Linked DNA regions of Styela clava. The protein of the gene in region 1 binds, or shares a complex with, the protein of each later gene. Links are inferred from orthologs where the notes say so. Each region holds a gene or a part of one and is shown on either strand. Other genes may lie near its edges.

Region 1 (7,630 bases):
GGGATTGGGGTGAAAAATAAGTTTTTGACAGATTTCTAAATGCAATTCTGTAAGTTTTTCTTCCGGTTTAAATAAGATAAATTACTTGGAGTAAGATCAGAAGATAAGTACAATACTCATTTTGATTTCCCTGGAACATAAAACCATGCAAAACAACACAATAAACACACACTAAATTGAGAAAATCGGGAAAACTGGCAAAACCTCATTTAAGGTTTATTAAAACACGTAGAAACACATGTGTATACCCATATTACACACACAAACAAATATCTTAAAAAATATAAAAAACACAAATGCGTGTCGCTCGGGCATCTAACTTTGGTAACATAAACACACTGCAGACACGGGGATTCCAATTTAAAACTGCTTATATAAGATAGATACTGACTATATCCAATTTGAATTTAGTCCTTTGTAAGACATTACTGCAAAGCAAGAACAAACCTTGTTTCCAAGTTCTTGTGCGATGGCCAAAGCAAGAGCTGTTTTCCCAGTTCCAGGCGGTCCAGCTAGCAGAATTCCTCGTCCAGCCATTTTCTTACTTCTAATCAACTCCACAACAATGCCGCATGCCTGAAAGAAATCAAGTATGACAATATAATAGCAGAATGATGGTTTTGTATCAGCATATGTCAGTACGACACAGTTCGATGATTTCAAGAATAGATTGAACGACATCAATTATAACAGTGATTGCGAAGCCATCCTGAGCCTCCATATTGGCAAAAATCAACAAACAGGCACTGCGCAACAAACTAAAAGGAAGTGCAATCTGAAAATGTTACCATTGAAATCCTCGAAAAAAAAATAATGTGATTTACTGAAGGAAAACAAATTGTATCGTAGCATTCATGAGTTTTTAGCAAAAAACGCAATTTTGGTCATACTGCGATGTGACGGCCGAGGCACTTCGCGATTCATTTATGATTGAGATAAGCATGGCGCAATCTGACGTTGTGCCAGATGTCCTCGTTTCAGAGACAAATTGAGTTTTGTCTTATTGAACCAAATGTCCGGACAGAATCGGAAGACTGTGCCCGACTGTACCAGCAGAGAGAGTTTTTGACACTGCAAACCTTGCTAACCATTGAACCACCTGGTCACGGAGACTGTGATATAGCTAAACTTCAGTCTTCTCAATAAACCCATAGATCCAATATATACCGTAAAAGCGCCTAACTTCGGACAGTTTCTAACTTCGGACAAAATTTTTGAACGGCCATATCTTGGCTAAAACGCGCCGTATATTGCTAATTTTAATTATTATAGGTTGCGCTGTTATATCTACATCTATTCTCATCTTTTTTAATGTTGCATAAATATTTTTTTGGTGAAAAAACGGAAATTTTGCCGAAAATTGACTGCCCGGCATTCAACGGCGCAGAGCGTCGCTCATACTGAAGCTATCGTCGTCAAAATACCATCATTCGGTAGAGGGCGACAACAATGTATATAATTTATTTGAGTGATCGCAAGATGTCGTATGAGATTTAAATAAAACCTAAAATTCTGAATTATAAATTCCGTAAGAATATTAAGATTTCACGCAGCGTCAAAATTACGTCAACCTCACGTAGATTATTTTTCGCTCACTTCCGACACGACGTCACACTGCGTCGTGGAAATGAATTTTGACGCCAGACACAACGGAGCCAATATGACAATTTCCGTTAAGATAAAGACGGCATTCCAATGTAATATTTTTGTATTTTGTTCGGTCATGTATAAATATATGCCAAAATTACATTAATGAAAATACATGTCACACTTAATCGATGACGTTAGGAATCGAATATATAAAACTATGATAATTCCAACGTCCATATGGTACAGTGCACTGACTTAACCATTATTTTATGATTAGTAGTCGAAATGACAGTTATTGAATACGGCCTGGGTGAATTTTATTCACTCGAAATTAAAAATAAATTTAATCTCCAACAAATAAACGGGACCTACATGTTTACAAGATTAAGTTGAATTTCAAATTAAACTTTACAATCGGATTTACCGTGTGTTTGATATAAATTATCATTTATAAAGATAACCGCGCAGAATAAAAAAAAGCTATCCGTCGAGAATATTAATACTTCAAAGACTTCGATAGAAGCCCGTTGAAATACTTCATTGGGGATTGAAACGGTTTGCATCAGATATATTTACGTATGCATTTCCTGATTAAAATGACCATCGTGTTATTATACTCATCTGAAGTATCGAAAATAACGAACGAAAGATGTAAACATAGGACGACAGAAGTTTCAGATAATGCATTTTCGTCGTGATGTCAATGTTACGTTACGACGACGATCGAGCGTCTTATCTTCACGCAACGACGTGATTTCGCCATCCGCATCGGAAGCCTCTTTCTCTCTGTGCATCGCGGTTACGCAGTGAAGAAAATGACTGTCCGAAGTTAGGGCAGTGAAGGATAACGGTCAGATGGCAAGAAATATCGATTATTTTAATAGTAAAAATAGTCCAATTGAACCGAAATTTACAGGGAATGTAAATTATCCGCACGAATGTTTTACCGAGCAATTTTGGCACCGTTTGGACAATAAATGGCCGAGTTATTGACAAAAATATAGTAATTTTGTCCGAAGTTAGGCGCTTTTACGGTAACCAAAGTCATCAATTGCTACTTGTTCAGAGCCTTATTTACAGTAAAGATAACACTTAGATAACAGGCAATCGCAGAACAAATAAATGAAAAGATATTGTTGGAATTGCAGTAATAATTAGCAATGTGCGAATAAAAATATTTTACCTCTCTGGCATCTTCTTGGCCAACGAGACCCGATCCTGTCTGAAGAGGTTTACCGTCATCTGATAATCCCAGTCCTTTGACATGAGTATGCGCTGCAATCCGCTGTGTCTTTGTAGTACTCTTAACCTCCTCAATTTTCATATTATATGATTTATGTTATCAAAATTTGCTTGAATTATAGACAGAGCCAGAACGCGGAACAAGGAAACGACGCTTTACAAAGTGAGCATTGAAGAAATACAAGCGTGCGCCCGTTGACGAAGCCAGCCAAGCATGTCGTGATTTATTGCGTTATTAGCAACCGAAGAAATTTCTAGTCTTCTCATTACCAATATATTTAATTCTAATTATTAAAAAAACTTCTAAACATTTTTCTTATCCGTAATGAACAATTTTAAAATACAGAAATCTTTGTAAACTGATTGGCCTGATATCTTTATTGTTTTATCGTATTTTTGTGATCGCTGATGTGTCTTGACGGGAAATCGAAATAGTGTAACCTCATTCTGATCTCAACTTCACTTATAAGTTATAAGTTATAAGTTTATTTCGACTCCATAATCAGCAATAGACGATAAAAAAATATATAAAAACAAAAGTAAAAGTAACTGATTATAGAATCGGGAAAGCGAACAAAACCTAAAACTTCTGCTCAAATGAGCCGTTATATAGAATAAATAAAACATCAAGTCCAAAGTGTACATTTTGTGATATGCAAAACAAAACAAAACTTCTGCTCAAATGAGCCGTTATATAGAATAAATAAAACACCAAGTCCAAAGTGTACATTTTGTGATATGCATGTCGAAACTGTGTTACCATTATTTTATTTCTGTGAATCTGTGCAGTAATTTTGGGTGATAGTTATGGCTAAACTTTGAGTATGGATTGAACCTTAAAATTTGAAACATAATGAAATTGTATTGGGGGTATCCAATAATAATATTAATAATAAAAAAACTTTTTTGAAAATCAATAAGTCTTTTTTGTAAATTAATGGGAAAATAACGAACAAAGTAAAAAGCCTTCTCCGTAGTAAAAGAGCTTCGCAAAACAACGTTATCTGCAATAGCAGAATTTCGGTTTATTCCCAATTGGAATGACCCCACTACGGATGCCAATAATGTTGATTTTTCTTCTATTATAGGTTTTTGTTATCTTTCGAATTTAGAAGATTTGAACGAGCGACTAATTAGTATAAAATGAGATAATGCATTTAAACTTATTTTGAAGGTTTTGTTCATTTCCCAGATTCTTCAAATGTGTTTCGTTTTATTTTAGCGAATCTGCATTGAAATAGATCAGGGATGGCGAACCACTGACCCGCGGGTCACAAAGTGACCCACTGCGTTTTATTTGTGACCCGCCAAGCGAAGGCACGAATAAAATTAAAAAAAATGCTAACATATCAGTGATAAAAATTGATAAAACCGGCCTTAAATTAATCTAACAATAGCTAAACTATTATAATGTACCGTCAATTGGACAGTCAGGAAGGGCTGCGATCGCTCAAGTTCAAAATGTTGATTTTTGGGCCGGTATGGTAATTTTCAAAACCCCTAATCTTGTACGCATGTATGCACCGCTGTGTACCGTTATTCAGCTATTGGGCCTGACATCGTTTATGACATAACAATGCAATTGATCTGTTCATTTCTCGCAACGCCTGTCTTTTTTGGAATTGCATCTGCAGACTGTTTTAGGGGTTATACGAGAACTAGATGCTACTTTGCATTTTATTAGTTTCTCGTCTACAATGCTGTTGTGAAAACAAAAACTTTCAGTCTTGAAATAAAAATCTAGAAATCTGATGAAACAATGGGGCAGTGTAAAAGTGGCTTAATGTGGTTGAAAGCTGATCGAAAATTATAACGCTATCAAAGCGGAATTACCTCCAAACACTAGAACCGTAGAATAATTTAACGCATCATCCTAAACGTTTTCGTGTTTTCGTACTCTAATATCATAAAACCGAGTGCCATGAAAAGTCCCTGATAGAAGTGCTGCATAAGTAAAGCCCAAAACTACACCAACACCAGCTTATAAGATTTGTTTCAGAAGTTTCTTATAGATACAAACGTGAATTAAATATCTGTGACCCACTCTCTTCTGTTCCACGATAAAATTATAATTTTTGACCCATTCATTGAAAAAGGTTCGCCATCCCTGAAATAGATCATCTAAAAACCTACGGTATCCCTGACTGAACGCTGATTGAGGTAAAAATTTCAATACTCCCCTGTCTAAACACCATCAAAGAATGCAACATAAAGATTAGCTACCATGTTTTGTTATATCAATCATTTTCTTTGCATAACTGTATATATGATGCATCTCACCATCTGGTATATATGATGGGATACAGAACTATCGCTATACGCGCCATCGGCTGGAAACAGGACGAGAGGTTGAAAATATTATTAAGCTCGGCGGTGAGGCGTAATGTGCTAAGCGTTAGGAGTACGCTTGCCACGGCACAGCACCTCTGATTACCCTGCGTAGGTTCGCATCCCGTGGGTGATAATTATGTGGGAGAGGGTTGCTGGACTCCTCGAGGGCATAGGGTGGTTCACGTAACCGCTGGTCGGATTCCTCCACCAAGTTCATGCATCTGGAAGCAAAATAACTGGCTAACTAATTCCATACCTGACATTGGCGCGGCGGTGTGGCTCAACGGGCTAAGCGTTAGGAATACGCTGGCCACCGCACCTCTAATTACTCTGCGTGGGTTCACAGGTTCGAATCCCATGCAGGGATGGTTATGTGCGAGAGGATTGCTGGACTCCTCGCCGTCGTTGGGTGGTTCACGTAACCGCTGGTCGGTTACGGCTTCATCCACCACCAAGTCCATGCTTCCGAAAACAAACAATACAGTAAAACTAATCCCATACCCGACTTGGAATGGTAACCGGACGAGAGGCCGTGGTTCGTCATATAGATAAGCCGTCTTATCGGCTTTCCTCTCCCCGGGATAAATATGTAAATCCTATCCTATGGACTGGTAACCGGACCTGACATCGTGGTTAACCATATGATTAAGTTGTCTTAACGGCTTTCCCCCTGCCCGGATTAAATATGTAAACCCTAAGCCGCCTTGTTAGCTTTCCTGTCCTCTGGACGAATATCAGAATGGTGCTCATTTATAGAAACAAACGTCTTACATATTTTTTACCTGTTTGCGTATATATTATATTCATCTACATTCAATACCAGCATCGAAAAATAAAAGCAAAACGTTAAAAAACTCGAATTAGATTTCGTAAATATTTAAATGAATCTTTGAAAATTTCTTTGGTTCGACTGTTTCATCTCGACATAAAATATCATCTTTTCCATCTCCGTTTGCATCAACGACGTAAACTTTCCAATTACTATCAACACAAAGATTGCCGATCATCACCGGATCTTTGGGTTCTCCACGTCGAATTGGGAAGAGTATCATGTCTCTGAAAAAAGTTTTTTATTTGAGAGACATAAATAATGTTCTTTTTCAATTCTTCCAAAATTATCATTCATTTGTGTGTTGGGAGAATTTAAAAAACTTAACACATAAGGACACAAAATAAGGTGTGATCATAATTATATCTCGTCCTGCTTCCAGTATAAAATGGGTTGTGATCTATTTCAGTGTTTCACAACCTAAATATGTAAATCCTCTCCTAGCCTAAAGGTTGGGAGCCACTGACCTATTCTCTACCACCACAGGATCAATAACCAGGCGTGGGACTGTGGTCAACATTTCACAATGAATAAATGGAATTTCATCTTTAATCCAAGACACCACTTACGTTTCGACACCATCTACTGCAACACATAGGACATCAGTTGTTCCATCTCCATCAAAATCTCCAGTGTGTAAACTTTTTAAAATGCAATTATGTAACTTCCCTTCCCAAGATATTTTATCAAGTCTGTTGCCTCGGCCGGCTAGTACTATCTTTCTGAAATAACAATGATTAGTTATCAATATTATTACAGTTTGGTTGAACAACATGATTCTAAATATGTTGAAAGTACAAGACTGCATCTCTATCTACAAGACTCTATGAATAATTTTATTGGCACTCCAGAAGTATGTTTACCAATATGGATATAACTAATTTTGTTCGCCTACTTTACATCAAGTTGTGTAAAGGGACTGAAGCCTATGGACAGGTGAGGGGGTATATTCTATTGGCTCACACATACAGTCCCGGAACTTCGCAGGGTCTTCCTATCTCTAGAAAAATAACGTTTTTAAACCTTCAACGAAAGCGAAGATTAGACTTAGATTGCAGAATGTCAGAGACGTGAGGCATTGCTTACAATCTGAATATTTTATGCCGCAAATGAATTTTTTTTAAGCAGTTCCATTTCCACAATCAACTTTGATTTCCATAATTATCGAATAGATATTGTGGGCCTGAATGCTTTATGTAGTTGAATAGAAGCTCACTTTGAAATTTCAATAGACACTAGGAAGGAAGGTTTGACTAGAGCTTGTGTCGGAATTGATTTAACTGAACCCGGGTTGAAGAAAAAATTCTTGATAACACTTATCTGGGACTCATTTTTTGAATGGCTTGAAGTCGGAATTGGATGAAACTTGTCTTTGACTCTACTGTCCCGATTCACATATTCATCTCGGGGCGAGGGAAGCCGATAAGACTGCTTAATCATATGGCGAACCACAATCTATCGTCCATGTCGGATATGGAATAAGTCAGTCAGTTATTTGTTTTCGGAAGCATGGACAGGATGGTGGAAGTAGCCGCAATCGACCAGTGGTTACGTGAACCACCCTGCAGAGGCAAGGAGTTCAGCAATACTCTCGCACATAACTAAATGGGATTCAAACCTGCAATCCTCGCAGAGTAA
Region 2 (5,573 bases), on another chromosome or scaffold:
CAAAATTTTCTTTGTTGTTAGCAGAAGCTTTTTCTTCAATGAGGTATTGCTCTACAATAATTCTTGCCATTAAACAAGGTGGAATTTCGAAATCATTTGCAATACCAATCAATACAGATTTGCCATTTACATCAGAAGAACCACTGTCAGTGCCATTCGAAACCGCTTCTTTTCCATTGCACAATTTTGCAATTTCACTTGAGGTTTGTTCTATATTTTGTGCGGGTAATTTGTTACTTTTCACTACATTTTGTTTATGATTCATTTGATGTGAGATATTCATTCGTTCTTTATATAATTTGTAATAATATTTCAATTTCTCTTCTTTCATTTTTGAGTGGTACGTCATTTTCACTTTTCGTTGCAAACAGGTCAAAAATATACTCATTAGTGTATGATATTGATATTGAGACCCAAAGTTTGAAATAACATTAGAGAGAACTGTTCTTGGACAATTAGATTTGTGGTAATTGATAAAGTCAAAGATTGTGCTGTATTCTTCCAGCCTCATTCTTCAAATAGATTGAATTTGAAGATTTCTAGCAGCAAACACAAAAAATTTATAATTGAAAAAAAAAATGTGGTTGTAAGCCAAATTGGATATATTTCACTACAAATTTATTTCAGTTTTAAAATTATCCTGTTTACTATGCTACTTGTTTTCCAGTTGGCTTTGGAAGCGAAGCTTGAATTTTCATTAATGCTTGTCTTGTTGTCTCTTGTTTCTTTTCCAAATCCTCAATTGTTTTCTCTTGTCTTTTAAATTCCTCTGTAATATAATCAACTCGTTTTTTCACATTCGCTTTTGCTTCATTCAAATCCTGCTTCACCAATACAGGACCTGTAAGCTTATAAACAGTGGCATCACTTTCAAGAATATCCAACTCTTTTTGTACGAGAGTATTCTCTGTAAGTTGAGCTTCAAGCTGTTGTCGTAGTTTCACACACTTGCCAATAGCTTTTTGATTTTTTTGCAATTCAGAAACGTGACTTTGAAATTCTAGCTGTACTTTTTTATTAACTTTTTCCATCCTGCTATAATATCACAAAAATACAAAAAAGATACGTTACATGAAGAACATGTGGAAGCTATATATACATAAATGTAGAAAATATTGATGAAAAACAGCAAAACATCTGAATATATTGAATATAATGAAAATAAGTCATAACATCACAATATAGCCATTTCGAAAAGACTGCACATTTAAATAACCCCATAAAGTGAAATATCATCCTTCGATAAGTTATTTTTTTAACTGATGGCGAGCTTGACTGTAATCTTTGTCCATGTTGTTCTATTGAGCAATTTGTAAAATGAGTAATTTGAAACTTCAAACAATGATACAACACATAAACATAAAAAAAAAAAAAAACTTAATGACTCCCATGGACAATAATCTCTACTAGGCAAAAACGAATGATCAAACAACACCTTACAAAAGAATAGGTTATAACTGTATACAAAATATAGCAAAAAATCTTGCCAACTTATACATATCATGATTGTATTTTGCAGAAGCTGGCTAATATACAGAAATTAACATTGTGTAAGATATGTCAGAATTTAGTTCTTAATCTAATATCGCAACAAAATGCAAATACTCGATGCACTACACAGAATTCTAGTACTCCATATAGCTTAAAAAGCATTTTTCTAGGAAAGTTGGTAGCATACGTGACGCATTAATTGACTTAATATATTGCAAGAAATGACATGAATATTATTTTGAAACAACTGTCAGAGAAAATTTTTTTATTCAAATAATAAAACTAAATTCATAAGAAACGATTACTAAAACAGACATGATTCCCTCAAAACAAATAACTTGGTGAATGCAGCATAAAATTTCATTAAACATAGAATTACAAAAGAGAAAACGGGCAACAGACGGGCACAATTACATATATGCATTAAAAAATGTACAGACTTGAAATATGTTTTTACAAATATAGCAATTTGCTTCAAAACTATCACAGTTAAAGCTGGACTAAGATACAGGAATGCCTCCAAGGTGCCAATGGTTGGCATATCAGCCTCAAAAGATAGTGTCCAAAATTTTATTCGAGGTTAGTTTTGCATTTCACACAACATAAGTTTTACCCAGGATATAATAATAAAGACAAATTATTCTCAAATAATGAACTTCCATTCCTATCGCAATATTTTGTTAGTTATTTAAAGGAAGATGAGTTCAGAAAATTTGCTGCAAAAGCTTATATTATGTCAATCTGTAATCTTCAATCAATGTCTTCATCAGAATCTTTCTCTTCTGGTAATTGCATATTGTGGACTTTTTGTTGAAAAGGAACCAGATTACCAGTATCTGGATCGATACATACAGGTTTGATAATATCATCACTTGACAATTTCGAAATCTGATTTGCTAATTGAACAGCAAGATATTCTTTCTGTTCTTCCGACATACCTTCCATCGGATTGGGAATATTAGGTGGAATGTGACCAGTAATGGGGTTAATTTTCTCTGCATTTTCTAAATATTCTTCTGTGTCAGAGTCAGAATCACAATCAGAATAAACAGTGTCTCCCTGGCCTCCTGCGAGTAACCCCCTGCTTGCAAGCAATCCCGCAGCATTTCCATAACCAGTGTATTTAACAAGTCTCTCCACCTTCTCTCTGCACAAGACAAATACAAAATCAGCAGCAGCCGCTTTTACTTCTGTGTTAGCATGTGTGAAAAGCTTTATCAATTTATTACGAAATTCTGGTCCAACTTCAGGACGATGCTCAAAATCCTTACGTGGTGGGATAACGTAATTCTTGCAATATTTTCTGACATATCTTGATGTACGACTGATGTGGCTCAGCAGTGAAAGAACAGGTTGCAAGCTTTCAGTTGTCAATGACTTATTGTGAATCTTCAATTCAACTTCTTTTAAAATATTCAAAACAGCACTGAGATCTCTTTCCTCCCATTGCGGGATGTCTTCGCCATTGTATGAAAACACATCATCAGGGTCATACTTGTCAATTAAAGGAATTATCGTATCATCAAGTAAACAAGACCTGGGCACAGTGTATAAACAATTTCCTGCGTCACCATGTAATTTCTCCGTCAAAACTTTGTCATCACCTGCTTGAACCAAATACAATTTACGACAAACTGATGTCAAATCTTCAAATTCAATAGTAATTCTTTCTTCCTTTACTTGACTTTCTTCATGCCGATATTTCAGATTCAAATTGAACAGTGTTCTTAATATTTCACAACAGGATTTTGCATGTGCAGGAGAAATACTAGCTCTGATACATGGCGTAGGTTTAACAACTCTTTTTGATGATGTCAATTTCGAATTCAAATAATCCAACAAGACTCGGCTACCCTCGTGGTTTTCAATAATCTTTGTTCTTGCTTGCACATTGAGCACAGAAACGAGAAACAGCAATCGAAGTGTTAAAAATTCAACTTCAGTATCATTTGATTCATCTTTGGGATCCAGAGATTTCAAACGTTGCAAAATGCCTTTTATAAGTTCATCGTCGCAACAATAACCTTGCGAATCTTTTGAAATGAACATGATATTGCATAGACATTTACTAGCAAGTGTAAACAGTATCTTAGACGTTTCGATGACCGTCATTGCCTTCCCATTTTTATCCAGTAATCCAGCAATCACTGTCAATATCTTCCATGTTTCTCGATTCAAAAATCTTCCATTCATTGACATATGATCTCTAGACATTACGACTAGAGCAGAAAGGCTTTCCACCACATATTCAGATTCTGAGGTGCTTTCACCATCCAGAGAAGACTTTAAAATATCCAATAAATGTGAGACAAATAGTTTTCTTTCTTGCATGTCATTTTTGCCAAAAATGAAAGCGCCACTATTCTTTGCATTGAACTTTTTTAATGCTTCTAATGATTTATCAGTATCATTCTCAGATAATATAGTATTAGGATATCCATTAATAGGTTCCATTGTCAGACTGTGGTTCACACTAAATGAAGGAAATCACTAATACTGTAATAGTATAGTTTAGTACAAGTAATGATCTGAACAGTTGTATATTGAATAATTATGAAAGGAGGATTTCTTAATAATCCTTTCACACATAAGGTATACACCTATTGTGAGAGATAAACAACTTAATTATTCTTTAAACCACTAACCAGAAACACAAAACATAAATAATAGACCAAATGAGTGATTCAAAATAAAATCTTTTATTAATGACTGGGTGGTAAAGAATGAGTTAATCAGATTTTTTCACCACCCAATACATGAATAAGTAATTGAAACTAGTTCAGTACTATTGATCTCTCTATACCAGAATACTGCAATATGTTAAAAGTTATAAGCACCGTACTGCTGGATGAATTTAATCTGACAGAGAAAAATTCTTGAATACCAAGTACAGAACTATTGCGCTATAAACAATGGGGATAAAAATATGTGGTGTGGGGCACGTGGAGTCTAACGAAGTACACGGAGCAAGTTTTTAAATAATGCCAACCAAAAAAAAAAACATGATGTAAAAAAAATAAAGTCCAATATTTATTATTTTTTTATAATAAAAGTAGTCTCGGACAGAAGTTGAGTCAGAACGCTACTGGTATATGGTACTCTATTTCAGTTTACAGTACGACATAGTCTGCCCATACCCTACTGGTATATGATATGGAATATACTGCTGTACTGGCTTAGTTGAAAATCGAGTGGATTTTATTTTAACTAAACGCAGAAACGCATCTGTCAAGTATTTCATTTCCGTCCTAGACAGACTTTAAAAAAAAAATTTCACATCACATTCTGTTTGGGATTATTCAAGCAGTTTCGGTACCAAAGTTACCCCAGCCCACACTCGCTCAGCCCACACTCAGCCTGACGTCAATGGGTCAACCAACTATTTTACCACTTTATAAACGTTAATACATAAAAACTTGGTGGCTATGACAATATAGAGACCATATTGGATATACACAGCGCAAATGCAATACCAAGCACGGACCAGTTACCCCTAGTATGGCCTGTCAAAAACGAGTGTGGGCTAGCGTCTCACGAGTGTGGGCTAGCGTCACACGAGTGTGGGCTGGCATCCTACGAGTGTGGGCTAGCGTCACACGAGTGTGGGCTGGCGTTCTGACAGTGTTATACGGTAAGTTAAGGCATCCTAAACGCTCACAGATTACTAAATTACATATATCCACGTTTACCTCAGCACCAGAACCTCTCAGAGTCCGGCAATTGAAAGCACAAAATGTGGTAGACTAATCCTGTAATCGGAGACTTCATACAAAACCAGCTTGGCCATATTTTTTTAATACGGGAAACTTATTATTTTTTCTTCGCTGCTCACTGTTTAGAAATCAATACCGGTACCGGTACGGTATTCAATTTAACAACGGCAATCGCCTGACCTTTATAAAATACCGGTACCGTAATTACAATCTGAATATATAAAGTGTGTCACGTACTGAAGAACTGTACCGGTACGGTATACAACTAAATAAAAAGATTTTGATAATTTTAAATATACCGGCTGCACCCGTACCGACACCATACGGTAACTCAGTAACTAGCCTCCTCCCACACCAAATAAAAAGGTC
Region 3 (7,801 bases), on another chromosome or scaffold:
GGCAAGGATTCATGACTGGATCGAGGATAGAATGAAACACGTCCGACCGGAGTTAATTAAAGCAGTGTTGTTCATTTTGATCTGCTAGAACACAAAATAAAAACAACTGACTCACGCCCGAAAACCCAAAATCGTGTTTACGAATGTTTGCATCGAAAATTTCACGAGTGCAGCTTGTGAATGAATCGGTGAAAACGTTGAGCTGGGATGCATGACCATTTTTTGTTGAAACCGTCGTCAAGAAGTCCAAGAACCGTCAAGTTGGAAACATGAGACTAATAAATTGTTTTCTAATGAATTGTTTTTCACGTACATGAGTACTAACTTGTTTTCACTGCGCACATCCTAGTTAATATGAACATCTAAATTAGGGATTAAGGTAGGCTAACCGAATCTATTGATTTATCAATGATGCAACTTTAGCCTGAACCTTTACAATTTGCATATGGTATATATATATTTACATATTTTTTGCTTCTAAATGATATGGATGAAGAAGATTTGCAAGTTTCGGTTTGTCTGACACTCGTAGTATGAAATATCCAATTCCTATTTGGGCGTATACTTATTTTAAACGCATTCCATGCATCATTTTTTACGCCGTAAACTTAGGATAGGATAGGATTTACATATTTATCCCGGGGGAGAGGAAAGCCGATAAGACGGCTTATCCATATGGCGAACCACGGCCTCTCGTCCGGTTACCATTCCAAGTCGGGTATGGGATTAGTTTTTACTGTATTGTTTGTTTTCGGAAGCATGGACTTGGTGGTGGAGGAAGCCGTAACCGACCAGCGGTTACGTGAACCACCCAACGACGGCGAGGAGTCCAGCAATCCTCTCGCACATAACCATCCCTGCATGGGATTCGAACCTGCGAACCCACGCAGAGTAATTAGAGGTGCGGTGGCGAGCGTATTCCTAACGCTTAGCCCGTTGAGCCACACCGCCGCCGCCAACTTCTTGTGTAAGCTGACAAAAATACATAATGTTGCCGAAAAACATATCCATTTCTTCGATTAAAACAATATCGTCCTGAATTGATGGTTTGAATTTATTAGAGAGCCTTCTAGTAGAATACCTCATATACAGTGGCGGCGCGTGGTCATTTTGACAACCGGGGCAAGCTACTGCGGGACCAAGTCACCCCCATCTACGGGGACAGGATGAGCAAAACCGGTCCAAGTCAAGGGATTAATAAATATAGACATAGTTTATTTTGAAACCTTATTCAAAAGGAAAGGCAATATTTACCCAGATAAATACAATGACATATTAACAGAAACTTCGGGAAAGCAGACAAAACCTAAAATAAGGTTTAAAACGTTACTATGAAGAAAGGAAAGTTAATGCAAAGATAAGGACATGCGTCGCTCACTCATAGATATATATGCTGCTAGGCTTCTACTGCTTGAACATATATGCAACACGCCGCGGTTTCTTGGAAGCAAAATGCTCAATAACGCGCTGATTAAAGTCATGCATCCCAGAAATAACGTCTCTGTGAATGGATAAAACAGCCAAGGAATTTAATCTATCTTGCTTCATTGTGTTTCTGAGATACGTTTTAATATGCTTCAGCGTGCTGAATGTTCGCTCTGCGTCGGCGGAAGAAATAGGCGTCGTCAAAAAGATGTCCAGAAATTTTGCAGACGCCGCAAAGGTAGTTACTAGAGTGTTATCTATGAGGAACCTATAGAGCGCGCAAGTTGATGTGATGTTCAAAAAAGTTTGATTGATGTATATACATCGCAATTCATTTTCCAATTTACCCACGTTTATCATGGGGTAACATTTGGAGACAGTAGCCAACAAATGGATGGAAAATTGACGTGCAAATTTTGAAAATTTTTTGGGGTTCATCAAAGAGAACACGGCAAGGTGTCCAGTGCGCAGACGATCGCCTATTTGATTCACCAGAATGTCACAGCATTCCTTTGCAGACAAAATCAAACGCTGCGTTGTTTGCCCGCGCGTAAAGAAGCACTCCATGTGTCGTCGTATTTTATTGTTTCCCGGATACGAGATACAGCATCGCAGAAGTCTGAAATACACGACTGCACAGACGCTCCATCCATTAGCCTTGACTGCAATGCGCCGTATAATACATCCACGTGATAGAATATTGTGGAGAAAAAAATGAAAACTCACCATCTTCTAGCAGACGCTTTAGACCTGCCGCCTCCCTCACAGAGCGTTCGTCCCAAACCGGAGAGCTCTGAATGCCATTGAAACACTCAATGAGCTCAGACCTAATTTCGGACACGCCCTGCACCACGCGTGATTGGAAGTTCCAACGTGTTGGTGCACAAGCTGGGAGACGGCGGCTACATATCTGGCGAAGGAGGTCAGAGCGCTTCGGCGAAACGGAAAAAAATGAAGAAAACCCCGAAACATTTGCTAAAAATATACGGACGAGAGGGGTATCAAGACACATATTTTTAATAACGAGGTTAAATGGGTGTGCATAACAATGTAAAAAATGCGCATGAGGAAAATCTTCTTTTATATAAACTTGAACACCATGTTTCGACCCACTCATGACTGCCGCGCCGTCATAAGTTTGAGCTATCAATTTTGACTTCGCGTTGTAAGGCTGTAACACTTCTTTCAGTACAGCCGATATCCCGCAAGCCGTGCGATCAACGATTGGTACAAAGCTGTGAAATCTCTCGGTAGGTTTACCATCTTTCACAAACCGAAAAATCACAGCCAGTTGGGAAACGCACGTGATGTCAGTTGTCTCGTCGGACTGAATCGAAAGGAACTGGCAATTCTCAATTTCCAGAGCCAAATGTTGTAAATAAATTTTATACATTGAGTCGAGCAAACATTTTGGATATCCTTAGATGTCCCTTTCGAAACAGTTGCGGCATCAAGATGATCTCTCAATACTGTATCTAGGGATGCGGTGTATTCCACCATATCCAAAAATACCCCTCTATTAGAAGAGCCAGCCCGTTCACCGTGCCCACGGAGGGACAGCTCGTGACAACCAATGAACTTCAAAACATCTATCAATCGACCGAGAACATGGCGGTTTTTCTCGACGTTTTGGTTGTGCCGACGAATAGAAACCGCGCGTCCTTCATCCAACTGTGCTGCAATATTAACATTTCCGAATGTTCGGTATTTTACTGCATTGTCCAGATGCTCCATAGAAGATTGATGATCCCTGGCACGCTCGGAAAGATGTTTAAGATCTCTAAAACCAAATTTACACCAACGTGAGTCACGGGCGGTAGCAAAAAGTAGGCAATAAAAACCAAAAAGTGCATTTTTGTCCTCGCTGTAACACAACCATTCGTGTTTTTTATACCAAGTTTCTGCGCAGAATGTACGCCGACGCTTTCCTCCGTCATGGGATTGTTCCAGTGAACAATTTTTTGGTTGATAAGGCCCAATACGTTGACGTTGTACCTCTAATTTTTGTTCCAGCGGCAGCTGCGAAAACGGAGTGCGAAGTAGTGCATCAACCTTATTCATTATGAGGTCTAAGGCTAAGAAATGCGAAGCCGGAAAGAAGTGAGGAGCTCAAAAGGAATGTGGAAAATCGAAAGCAAATGGACTAAAGGTCTCTAACTGATTCAAATAGCGAAACAAGCGACAAAAACGAAGGCGAGGAAACTATCAACTCTTCAAGCAACCAACGAACGAGAAGGAATGCGTGAATATGTCAACACGTTGTAGTAAGAAACGTCGGCATTGTGTCGTCATAATTTCGGGGCTAGCCCCGATCGGCCCCGATGATTTAGTAAAAGAAACAGAAAAACAAACGAGACAAACGCGGCGAGTGGAAGATAAAAGAGAGAATACGATATACAATGAGCAACCGGGGCAAAATCGGCGTCGCCCCGTCGACGTTCGGCGAAGGCTTTGCGAGCGAAAAATGAACCATGTCGGGAGAATATGGCTAGTGTAGACAGTCTGTGCAACCGATATTGAGGTATTTTTCGAATATTTTTTATTATACCGAAAAAACAACCGGGGCATTGCCCCGGTTGGCCCTATTGACGCGCCGCCACTGCTCATATATATATACTGTACTAATTTTGTAAAAATAAATCAATTCAAATGAAATAAATTCAAGTGTTGTCTCTGTTTATTTTTCTCAAAGTAAAATTTCATCTAAAGTGTTTAGGTCAAGTCAAGTTTATTTTTTCCAATCAATTAATCAAACCATGATGGTGCACTCCTCCCGGTATATATATATTGGTTCATTTTTGGATTTGAAATTTCGCTATAATGTACATGTTGCAACATACTTTATAATAAATATTTATATTTCTTTTCTTGGAACAAATCTTTAGATAAGTATCTATTTCGGGAAAAAAAAAGAATCAAATGTATTTATAGAGCAACTATTTATGGTGAGGCCAGAATATTTCAGATCGGACGTAACCAATCTGGGAGGCAATTCGCGAAAACTCGAATATATGAAAATGGAAGACACCCCCCGAAATAGGCCCTAGTGTTATTTTTCGAAAGAAAATTGAAACAAGACCCTGTCTTATTTTCGGGAAAACACGGTATACGTATATATAGTATTTCTATTTCTGTGAACCATTTGACAAAAGCTATTATCCAATATTTCAATGCAGTTTGAAAACGAATGACTTGAGCTGCTAACGTTTTTGACTTATTATCTTTCGGATTCCAAAGTTGGGGTTCGACGGGGGCTCGCAGAATATCGCAGGGGTTCGGGAGGCTCGCAGAATATCGTAGGCGTTCGACAGGCTCGTAATCGTAAAGGTTGAACCACATCCTATCAGAGTCGTTTAGGATAATTATTTTCGCTGTGAATGTGGTATTGAAAGACGAATAACTCATGATCCTGTTTTAGACGAGTTATTCATATGGAGGACCTAAGTACAAACGTTATAAAGTGTTGTTTTCCAAAAGACGTTCCGGAAATGTAATACGGTGGGTTAGTTGAGTTCGCGCTTACAGCACCGGTAGGATTTGTACAATTTTTATATTTTCCATTTATATTTGTTTTGGTTGACGAATCAAAAAATTTCCTCTCTCTCTCTCTCTTTTGTTTTGTAAATCTTACCCGATAATGCCGAATTATCCATGTCGAGGTATTCACGTGACAGCGATATATAAAGTGGTGTTTTCCCGAAGCAGTTTCATAATAACTGCATCGCTGGTCGCACCGGTTAAAAACAAGTAGCCTAGAGCGATATTGGAACGGCGTCGTACGGAATATGTCACAAGGAATGAAGGTATGGTTGTATTTATTTACGGTACTGGTATATTTAGGAGTTAGCTTTATAATCCAAATGTTGAAGTTCAACATTTGAATCATACCTGTACAGTTTACGATATTACCTGTACTGCTGTAACGTTACTGGTACCATAATTAGTAAATTCTATTCAGTCTCAAACGTGTTCGAGAAAACTTCAGCACATTGCATATTTCTATCCTTTCTTATGAACGGACCCTGTTTACTCTTATAAGTATATTCATGGTCAGATAGTCCTGTATTCCAGGGTTTCCCAAACTGGGGTTCGCGGACCCCTGGGAGTCCGTGATGACTGCACAGGGGGTTCACAATGACATGACAAGAGTCTGATCGTTAAGGATTGATGTCAAAGAAAAAGCCATTGCACTTGGTTGAACGCTGCGTACGCATATTGCTGTTAGAAAAGGCAATTAAAGGTCATATTGCCTTTTGCAAAGACCTACATGCAGACATGTGTGGCAGTATTTTCAGCTCTTACCAATATGATGACAAAATACAGGTCGAGACTTGCCCTAGAGTCGGATCTACGAACTTGCTCGTCACAAATTGCTCCGAGAATCGATAAATTGCTGAATTGTGCAGTGAAACGCAACTTCATCCATCACATCAGCAAATTACAGACATTAATGCCGTTTGTGCTGTAAATGAAACATTATCCTTTTTCGTTGGTTAGGCACAGAAATTGATACAGTATACAGTATAGGATTCATCAAAACTAAGATAAACAAATAGGGGTCCGCCGCTCAAAAAGTTTGAGAAACCATGCTGTATTCCAATCATCTGATGGTCTGGATTGACTAAAGTTACTTAAAAATGAATTGAGTTTTGTGATCAAAGTTTTCAATAAGCTTCTCGTATCTAAATATTAATCAATACTATTTTTTTAAAGGCTGGTGTTATCGAAGGCTGTCGAATGCCTGTTCAGAGAGACCTGGAGGGTCAATTTGAGTGGCGTAAGATATTTTTTTAATTGGATGTTATTTAAATTCAGTAACACTATAATATTATGCTGATTACACTTGAAGTTGAATAGCCTACAAACTTTTTGCCTCAGACTTTCACTCCTCGGACCTTCCCAATCAGATGGCATTATGACGATTTGAGTAATGACTTACACAAACATTCATAAATTTATTCACTGCATCTACATGTATTTATATATTATATTATTATTTTTGGACAACTCTCAAATCTGGTTGAAAAGGTCCACGAGGCAAAACATGTGTGGCGCGAAAAGTTTGTATATCAATTCTATACCTAAAAACATTGGTACAAAATACAAGTTTCAATATTGGTGATAAAATATTATGTTATCTATTTTGATTTAATCACTTTTTAGTCCAGCAGATTTTGGCGAAGAACTATTTTTCAAAATATTCTGAGTCTTGATTTGTCATTTCATTCCAAAGCTTGATAAACCTCCCGCATTTAAACTTTTACAGTGTATATAGGGCACTATGATATTTTTTCATAATGTTTTCTCTTCTTTCATAAAGTGTGTATGAGTAAGTTGCAACCCTTTTTAAATGTCTCTATTTGTATTTCAGATCTGGCAGAAGTTCTCAGTATTCGAGATGTTAACAACAAATTTGAATATTATGTTCACTATATTGACTGTAAGTTTTGTGTAAATATCAACATTGCATGACTGGCTGATGCATTATTCTAATACTATGTACATATATAGAAATATTAAGTTCCATCTATGTTCATCAATAGATTTTTTCCTCAATTATCTGGAAAATAACAGCTGACCTATATAGTTGCATTTTTACTATGTAGGAGTGAATGGAAATTTCATAATATCTTTTCATTTTTGATAGTTAATAAAAGATTGGATGAGTGGGTTGCTGCAGAACGACTTGACATGTCAAAGATTCAATTTCCAAAGAAAGATACAAAAATAGGAACCAAAAGAAGCAGTGACTCTGTCCATAATAGTCCTGATAGGGAAATTGTTGTTGTAAGTACTTTTTAATGGAATACAAATAGATAATCGAATGTTGCTTTTGTGGGCATTCTATGCTCGACTACTGTTTCTGAACTTTTGTGTGAATGTGAAACGTGAGGATGGGAATGCTGTTTGCTGCTTTTCAATTTTTCTCTCAGTTCAAGTTTGTGATTTCTTTTTCAGCAAAATGGAACTGCGCATCCTTCAAAAGTTACGGCAGCAATTAAAAAGATGCCAAAGATAGGAAGAAAGAGAAAAGGACCTGAAATGGGACCAGAAGAGGTAAGAATCTTTGGTACTCCCGTAGTATGGGCAACAAGATGGCAGACACCGGAACGTAGTATGTGTATCAGGGTTAGGCCATAATTTCAGGTACAAATACTACAGGAGTCACTTGGCTAGTCCCCGAACTTGTAATATAACTAAAATAAGGAAAATTGGAATAAAATTATGGCCTAACCCTAACCTCGTACACATACTATGTTCAGGTGTCTGCCATCTTGTTGCACATACTACGGGAGCGCTGAATCTTCTGTGTGAGCGATTTTTTTTGTGGCTGAGCAAATTTATTTCCAAACCAGTGCTCATGGATGAACGGCCA

What was found. The genes of interacting proteins can lie anywhere in the genome.
Region 2: ruvB-like 1 (region 1) and uncharacterized protein LOC144421013 share a complex: the UniProt entries of both Homo sapiens proteins name them as parts of the PAQosome complex. The link is inferred for Styela clava from reciprocal best matches to the Homo sapiens genes RUVBL1 and PFDN6.
Region 3: ruvB-like 1 (region 1) and histone acetyltransferase KAT5-like share a complex: the UniProt entries of both Homo sapiens proteins name them as parts of the SWR1-like complex. The link is inferred for Styela clava from reciprocal best matches to the Homo sapiens genes RUVBL1 and KAT5.

What each region holds. Positions count from the first base shown.
Region 1 is NC_135256.1:5,659,091-5,666,720, reverse strand, and holds the start of ruvB-like 1, read right to left. Parts: upstream 3,027-7,630; 5' UTR 2,915-3,026; coding exon 2,774-2,914; intron 577-2,773; coding exon 448-576; intron 1-447. Other genes in the region: uncharacterized protein LOC120328125, read right to left, coding at 6,024-6,219, 6,562-6,714. UniProt on the Homo sapiens protein: Possesses single-stranded DNA-stimulated ATPase and ATP-dependent DNA helicase (3' to 5') activity; hexamerization is thought to be critical for ATP hydrolysis and adjacent subunits in the ring-like structure contribute to the ATPase activity.
Region 2 is NC_135252.1:15,383,319-15,388,891, forward strand, and holds uncharacterized protein LOC144421013, read right to left. Parts: upstream 1,037-5,573; 5' UTR 1,032-1,036; coding exon 648-1,031; 3' UTR 512-647; downstream 1-511. Other genes in the region: uncharacterized protein LOC120343245, read right to left, coding at 1-511; chaperone Ric-8A-like, read right to left, coding at 2,242-3,945. UniProt on the Homo sapiens protein: Binds specifically to cytosolic chaperonin (c-CPN) and transfers target proteins to it. Binds to nascent polypeptide chain and promotes folding in an environment in which there are many competing pathways for nonnative proteins.
Region 3 is NC_135257.1:5,468,855-5,476,655, reverse strand, and holds the start of histone acetyltransferase KAT5-like, read left to right. Parts: upstream 1-4,793; 5' UTR 4,794-5,210; coding exon 5,211-5,228; intron 5,229-6,138; coding exon 6,139-6,202; intron 6,203-6,796; coding exon 6,797-6,865; intron 6,866-7,072; coding exon 7,073-7,212; intron 7,213-7,383; coding exon 7,384-7,482; intron 7,483-7,801. UniProt on the Homo sapiens protein: Catalytic subunit of the NuA4 histone acetyltransferase complex, a multiprotein complex involved in transcriptional activation of select genes principally by acetylation of nucleosomal histones H2A and H4.